2 linked regions of the Tribolium castaneum genome follow. Each later gene encodes a partner of the first gene's protein in a complex. Links are inferred from orthologs where the notes say so. Each region holds a gene or a part of one and is shown in the gene's direction. Other genes may lie near its edges.

Evidence for each region.
Region 2: mTor (region 1) and Sin1 share a complex: the UniProt entries of both Homo sapiens proteins name them as parts of the mechanistic target of rapamycin complex. The link is inferred for Tribolium castaneum from reciprocal best matches to the Homo sapiens genes MTOR and MAPKAP1.

What each region holds. Positions count from the first base shown.
Region 1 is NC_087399.1:3,306,893-3,310,572, forward strand, and holds part of mTor (serine/threonine-protein kinase mTOR), read left to right. Parts: intron 1-1,019; coding exon 1,020-1,698; intron 1,699-1,746; coding exon 1,747-3,151; intron 3,152-3,223; coding exon 3,224-3,455; intron 3,456-3,507; coding exon 3,508-3,680. UniProt on the Homo sapiens protein: Serine/threonine protein kinase which is a central regulator of cellular metabolism, growth and survival in response to hormones, growth factors, nutrients, energy and stress signals.
Region 2 is NC_087397.1:9,927,443-9,931,364, reverse strand, and holds Sin1 (target of rapamycin complex 2 subunit MAPKAP1), read left to right. Parts: upstream 1-1,333; 5' UTR 1,334-1,403; coding exon 1,404-1,494; intron 1,495-1,538; coding exon 1,539-2,082; intron 2,083-2,242; coding exon 2,243-2,481; intron 2,482-2,528; coding exon 2,529-2,861; intron 2,862-2,911; coding exon 2,912-3,096; 3' UTR 3,097-3,139; downstream 3,140-3,922. Other genes in the region: crb (protein crumbs), read right to left, coding at 947-995; Pdzd8 (PDZ domain-containing protein 8), read left to right, coding at 3,381-3,542, 3,590-3,784. UniProt on the Homo sapiens protein: Component of the mechanistic target of rapamycin complex 2 (mTORC2), which transduces signals from growth factors to pathways involved in proliferation, cytoskeletal organization, lipogenesis and anabolic output.

The sequences.
Region 1 (3,680 bases):
ATTGGAATTAAAAACGTCATTTTCTAACTCAAATTTTAAAGGATCGTAAAATTTGCCCGGCGCATCCACCATTTTTGCTCCGAGGAAAATTTTATATTACGAAGGAAAGACAGGGAACGACTTTTGTTTCCAATAATTGGAATTAAAAACGTCATTTTCTAACTCAAATTTTAAAGGATCGTAAAATTTGCCCGGCGCATCCACCATTTTTGCTCCGAGGAAAATTTTATATTACGAAGGAAAGACAGGGAACGACTTTTGTTTCCAATAATTGGAATTAAAAACGTTATTTTCTAACTCAAATTTTAAAGGATCGTAAAATTTGCCCGGCGCATCCACCATTTTTGCTCCGAGGAAAATTTTATATTACGAAGGAAAGACAGGGAACGACTTTTGTTTCCAATAATTGGAATTAAAAACGTCATTTTCTAACTCAAATTTTAAAGGATCGTAAAATTTGCCCGGCGCATCCACCATTTTTGCTCCGAGGAAAATTTTATATTACGAAGGAAAGACAGGGAACGACTTTTGTTTCCAATAATTGGAATTAAAAACGTCATTTTCTAACTCAAATTTTAAAGGATCGTAAAATTTGCCCGGCGCATCCACCATTTTTGCTCCGAGGAAAATTTTATATTACGAAGGAAAGACAGGGAACGACTTTTGTTTCCAATAATTGGAATTAAAAACGTCATTTTCTAACTCGTAAAACAATTTTCCAGCAGGAATTTTTCCCAAGCAAAATTTCTCAAAGGATCAAAATCTGCTATTTTTAAAAGGCATTGGAAAATATTTTAATTTAAGACGAATCTCTACGAATTCGTACATTCGAATGGGCCAATAAAAAATTCAGAATAACTAAAAAATTGCGAAAAAGTCTAATAAATAATAATTAAATCAATAACTTTGAGAATTCGTTCCTTGTCTTTCCCTTGTACTCTTCAACTGGTAGAAAAAACAAATTGCAAGCTTTTCGCTCCTTTTTTCAATATTAACATTTAAATTTATTTTTGGAATAGGTCCTGGTGCCCAAACTGCGCGACCCCGAGCCAAACCCCGGCGTCGTCCTTTCCGTCCTGCTCACAATTGGCGATTTGGCCGAGGTGAGCAGCGGAGGCACCGAACTGCAAGAATGGATGCAAGAACTGATGGGTATTTTACTCGAAATGTTGGGCGACGCTTCCGCCCCCGAAAAACGGGGCGCCGCCTTATGCACCTTGGGCCAGTTGGTTGGAGTGACCGGTCACGTAATCCAACCCTACACCGAATATCCAATACTGCTCGACGTCCTCCTCAATTTCCTCAAAACCGAACAACAGTCCTACATTCGGCGAGAAACAATCCGCGTTTTGGGGCTGTTGGGGGCTTTGGATCCGTACAAACATAAAATAAATCGGGGGGAGATTGATTATTATCCCGAAGCGCCCGTTTTGATACCGATGACGGATAAAGGGGAGGATTTGAACGCGGATTTGACGTCGAGCGAAATGCTGGTTAATATGAGTTCGAGCACTTTGGAGGAGTACTATTTGGCGATAGCTATAGCCACTTTGATGCGGATTATTAAGGATCCGACGCTGGCACAACACCATACAATGGTGGTGCAAGCAGTTACTTTCATTTTTAAAAGTTTGGGGATTAAGTGTGTGCCGTATATATCGCAAGTTTTGCCCAGTCTTTTGCACGTAGTACGGACAGGTGAGTTGTGACCTTATTTAAGTTGTGCCAACTAAAATATTGTTTCAGCCGACGTTAACTTTAAGGAATTCCTCTTCCAACAGTTGGCACAACTAATCTACATCGTCAAGCAACACATTCGTAACTACTTGGACGACATTTGCCTACTAATCAAAGAATTTTGGACCCCGAACAGTACGATTCAAGGGACTTTGATCCTTTTAGTTGAACACATCGCAGTGGCGTTGGGGGCGCAATTTAAGGTTTATTTACCGAAAATGTTGCCCCATATCTTACGCGTGTTGAACCACGACACGTCCAAGGAACGACTCTACACTATCAAATTATTGGAAGCGTTACACAATTTCGGTAACAATTTGGACGAATATATGCACTTGATTTTGCCCCCCATTGTCCGGTTATTCGACGCTCAGGAGTGTCCAATAGTCGTGTCGAAAAAAGCCCTCGAGACTATCGACCAACTGGCCGAAATTATTGACTTTTCGGACTTTATCTCACGCATTGTGCACCCCTTGGTTCGAACGATTGACAACTGTCCCGAATTGAGACCCACAGCCATGGAAACTTTATGTTCACTCATGCAACAATTGGGGCGAAAATTCTCAATTTTCGTACCTCTCGTACAGAAAGTGATGACCAAACATAAGATACAACACAGTAAATTCGATACTTTAGTTTCGAAAATCCAATACGAGACAACACTGGCCGAAGACGTTGATTTCCCAATGCCGAGATCCAAAACAACCGGGAAAAATCGAGACCCAGCGATGCCTGCCGATAGTGGAATGATTCAAAGACTCAAAGTTTCGGAATCCAACCTACAACAGGCCTGGACCCCTGTCCGAAGAGTCTCGAAAGACGATTGGTTGGAATGGCTAAGACGCCTCAGTATCGAACTATTAAAACAGTCACCAATTCCAGCATTACGTTCGTGCCTTACTTTGGCACAGACGTATTCGCAACTGCCACGTGATTTATTCAACGCAGCGTTCGTAAGTTGTTGGTCCGAATTGAGCGAAAACATGCAGAATGAACTGATCAGTTGTCTCGAGCAAGCTTTGACTGTGCCGGACGTTCCGGAAATAACTCAAACTATTTTGAATTTGGCCGAATTTATGGAACATTGCGACAAGGGGCCTTTGCCCCTCGATAGCCACATTCTGGGGCACCATGCGATGCATTGCCGGGCGTACGCCAAAGCCTTGCATTATAAGGAAGAGGAGTTTCAAAGGGGGGCGAGCAGCCAGGTTGTCGAAGCACTCATTTCGATCAATAATAAGTTGCAACAAAAGGAGGCGGCTGAAGGGTTGTTACAATACGTCATGCAGAGGGAAATGCAAGTGCAGGTCAGGTGGTACGAGAAGTTGCACAATTGGGAGAAGGCCCTGAGGTTGTATACTGAGAAACTGGAAGGGGACGAGGCGGACCAAGAGGCTTGTTTGGGCAAAATGAGGTTCGATTCAATTTTGTCTTTTCCCAAAAAAATCCTAGTTATGTTTTATAAACTTCTACATTGATTTTTCAGATGTCTCGAAGCGTTGGGCGAATGGGGCGAACTGCACCAAGTCGTCGAGAAAAGTTTCAGTTTACTAAATGACGACAGCAAACAAAAGGCGAGTCGGCTAGCGGCTGCGGCCTCCTTCGGTTTGCACGATTACAGGTCAATGGAAACTTACGTTAATGTAATTCCAAGGGATACGCAAGAGGGTGCGTTCTACCGTGCAATTTTGGCAATACATAAAGAGGATTACGAAGTGGTTTGTACCGTAAAAATCAGACAGATCGGTTTGGTTTATTAACCGGTTCCAGGCCCAAAGATTCATCGATTCAGCTCGCGATTTACTCGATAATGAATTAACTGCGATGGCTGGTGAGTCCTACCAAAGGGCCTACGGGGCCATGGTCATGGTACAAATGTTATCCGAGTTGGAAGAAGTAATGCAGTATCGGTTAGTGCCAGAACGGAGGCCCACTTTAAAAGC
Region 2 (3,922 bases), on another chromosome or scaffold:
TTAGTTGGCCATGACTACGGATATCTAAAGGTTAGGATAAATAAAGCGTTCCCGTCCTCTCTACAAATTTCTTCCTCACATTTTTCTTGTATCTTCAACTGTATTCAAACCGCAAATTTAAAATTTTAATTTTTTTTCTTATGTTTCTTATAAAAATTTTAATAGTTAGTTTTTCTGTCTGTTAAGAGTGCAAAGCTTAACGTTCCTGATGTTTTCCAAGTAATTAGTGAATTGGTTGGATTTAAATTAATTTAAAACGATTTGGTACTGAGACGATATAACGCTCGAAACGCCCTCATTTTTACAATGTTGTACTATTTTTTCGGGTCCAGAAAATCTCGTTTCGTCTCCTAGCTTATAGTTCACCGTAGCCATGACGACTAAACCGACTTGATTGAATTTTGCCCTATATTTATTTGCCTAGTCTGTAAAAAGTACGATTTCATTACTTCATCATTATATGAGAATTGTTTATAATTCAAAAAATTCATAATTAGGCACAGGTGGAACACCTGTCTGGACACCTGTTGAATTTTGTTCCAAACCTACCAAGCCTAATTTTGGGGTTGTTTGTTGTATGGAACCAACAAAATTTATGAAAAAAATGTGTGATTTATTTATTTGTCAATAAACTGCATACAGAAAAATTAGGTAATGATCAATCACAGTTGACTTTGAGTTGTCATGGCAAGCTGGGTCATAAAACTCTCCCCATGTCCTTGCCATAATTTCTCTCAAAAATAAACTTTTCGTCCGAGTTAATCATTTTTCTGAGAAACGGAGGCCTAAATCGGTGTGACTCACCTCATCTTCTCACATTGCAGAAACAGTTATTGTTCCAAAACCTTTCTAATTTTTGTATCAAGGAAATTTAAATAACAAAAGATACAAATCAACTACTTTTATAAAAAGCCAAAACGTGTACGAAACCGGAAGTAGGACTTACCCAAGAAAACAGAAATTGGTCCCAACCTCCAAGAACTCAAGAAACCCATCTTTGAGACAACTGGATTGCGGTTTTTTCGTTACATTCATTAAAATCATATGCACCATGAAGCAACAACGGGGAGGTGTGTTTATGTTGAAAAAAACATAATTTTATTATTTAAAACCAGTAAATAAACACAAAATAAACGACAGGTTCACAAGACAACAACACCCAGCACCCACACAACACTTTTTCTAGTGACAATTTTAGTGATTTTGTTGTGTGTAGACAGTGCTCCCAATATGAACCAAATTTCAAAAATTTAGCAATTGGGGCCAATGATATCGAAAAGTGTTTGATTTTTTGATAAAACGACACGTTTTAAAATATTAAAATATGCTCAAAAAAAGCGTTGTCGCCTATTATCTAACAATAATGAGCGTTATGTCAAGTTCTTACATAACCTAACTTGTCAATGTTTACATCAGACACGATGGCCCTTTACGACAACAAATACTGGTTATTATCACACATACGCAACTCTTTCATTTCTACAGATGATACAGGTTTGGCTAGGTTTCAAAATCACACTCGATTAACAAAGTTTTAGGAATGTGCGAGTTAATAATGACAGGGGAGGAAGGTGTCAGGAAACACCTGAAGCAAAGCCTTGATTCGTACCCTGATGACGAAGACAGTGAAGATGAAGATGATTTGTCTCACGAATCTTACGACCTACAACTTGACACCGATTTCCCGTTACGATACAGATCGAATACTGCCGTAAGATTAGAAAAATTAGAACAGGTTAAAAAGAGAACTGGCAGAATCAAACATATTAAATGGGAAACGAACAAGAACGAGTTGAGTGAGGAACAAATTGATCAGTTATTCGTAAAAAAGGAACCCAAAGTAATAGAACCGAAGCAATCTTTGTTTTCTAAAACCTTCAAGGAGCATAAGATGATGCCCATTAACCCTTATATGGATTATGCCAAGTTTGATGGCAGCGGACAAGTCAATCTTCAAGTGAAGAAGTATAGAATTTTCCTAACAATGCTACCAGAGCACCAGAGGAATTACCCCTTGGCTGTTTGTTGCACCTCTTCTGCTAAAATTCAAGAGTTGATTGGACTTATATTACTCAAATGCAGGTTTGTTAACTTGATCCTGAAGTTAGGTTGGCAATATTCTAAGTTACTGATGACATAGTTGCACGCTATTGGCTAAGCGTTAAAATGTTGCCAACTTGATTTCAAAGTCACAGGCCACTTTGACCAGGAAATGAAATAATTGAAAAACAAAATTTTTAAGTACAATGTATGAAGACTATCCTTGGAAGCCCGTAAACAATTACGGTTTGTACATAACTGAAGAAGACGGAGAAGTGGATAGGGACTTCCCCAACTTGGACCCGAGGGAAAATATTGCCAAATTTGGGTTTGCTTGTTTAGGGCTTGTGGAACATTCAGATCCCTCAAAGTGTGTCAGTTTTGGGAACTCTGAAACTGTTACAATCAGAAAATTCGATTACAATGACAAAAAAGGAAAAGGTTCGCTTTTGCCACATTTTGGTTTAAAATTTAAATTTTTTCTTTAGATTCGTCTAAACAAGACCAGGAAAAACAAATCACCACCGATTTACACTTAATGGACGTTCATAAAAAAGCAATGGAAGCCCCACTGTACAAATCGTTCAAAGTCTACATGATTAATAAAATGCGGGCCAAAGTTGAAATACATTTAGGAATAAGTGGCGAAAAAATCGAAATTGACCCAGTGCAAAAAAACTCGAAATTTGTTCTAGTTAAACAAAAACCCATAAACCACGATATGGACATGATCGCGTGGTGCGAACCCATTGAAACTACCAAAAGCAACAAAATGACTTTCAAAATCATTTACAGCCATTCGTTCGCAAACGCTGAAAATGGTATTTTTTGTAATTATTTAATTTTCTTGATTATTTAATTGTTTTTCTAGTTTCAAGTCCAACTTTACAATCTTCAGCTAGCTTCAAAAGTTACGAATTTGAGGCAGACCAATCAATTGCCGAAGAAATCGTAAATAAAATAAACCTGATTTTGGATTTGAGGTCTAGTGACACACGGAAGGAGTATTTGGCAGCGCAAGAACGGAAATATTATAAGAAAAAAGCGTTGATTTAAGTAACTTGTATACTAAAATATAATAATAAATTCATAAATTATTTTTTTGCGTTATGATTTGGGAACGTACCCTCGTTACATAACCTCAACCGTCACCTGTCAGCTGTGAGTGTCATTACCCTCTTGAGAAAAAAACAGAAAAAGGAAAATCATGTTTGGCTTTTTTTGACGCTTATCATATATGAGATAAGCACAAGGGGGCTATAAAATGGTAAACTGACTCCACTTTGTGTTATTTCGAACAAAACGGGCCTAAAAATGGTGATAATATAATTTAAAGCGCTATGGATATATTTTTGTTCATGTTCCTAGTTTTTATATCTTTTTTAATTGGTATTATAGTGACTCTCGTGGTGCAATATTATATTTTGTATTCTTATTTTAAAACAAGTCCAGTGGTCACACCAAATGAGAAAAAGTGTTCTACTGATTACGTTTTACCAGAGGTATGTATTAAATATTTATGTTTTTGTGTGTATCGAAGCGCTTTTAGTCTTTGAAAAAACAATTGGATAGTGAAGAATTGAACGATGCGACGAGTTTATCGGTTAGCCTGGTTTTACAGTTTTTGTTTCACGAATTGAGGCATTCTGAGGCTATTAAACGATGGCTTTATAAGAAGCTGAGTCTTGAGTTTGAGGAACTACTAACTAAAACTACCATAGGGAAATTTTTCGAAGTCATTAATGTGAGGGTTTGATTTTTTTCTACGGATAGGCTAGGGCATGAAACGACGTACAAATAATGTATTTTAACTGCCTAAGATTTTAAAAAAATGCATTTTTTCCAAGTAATTAGTGAATTGGAAGCGCCCTCATTTTTATTC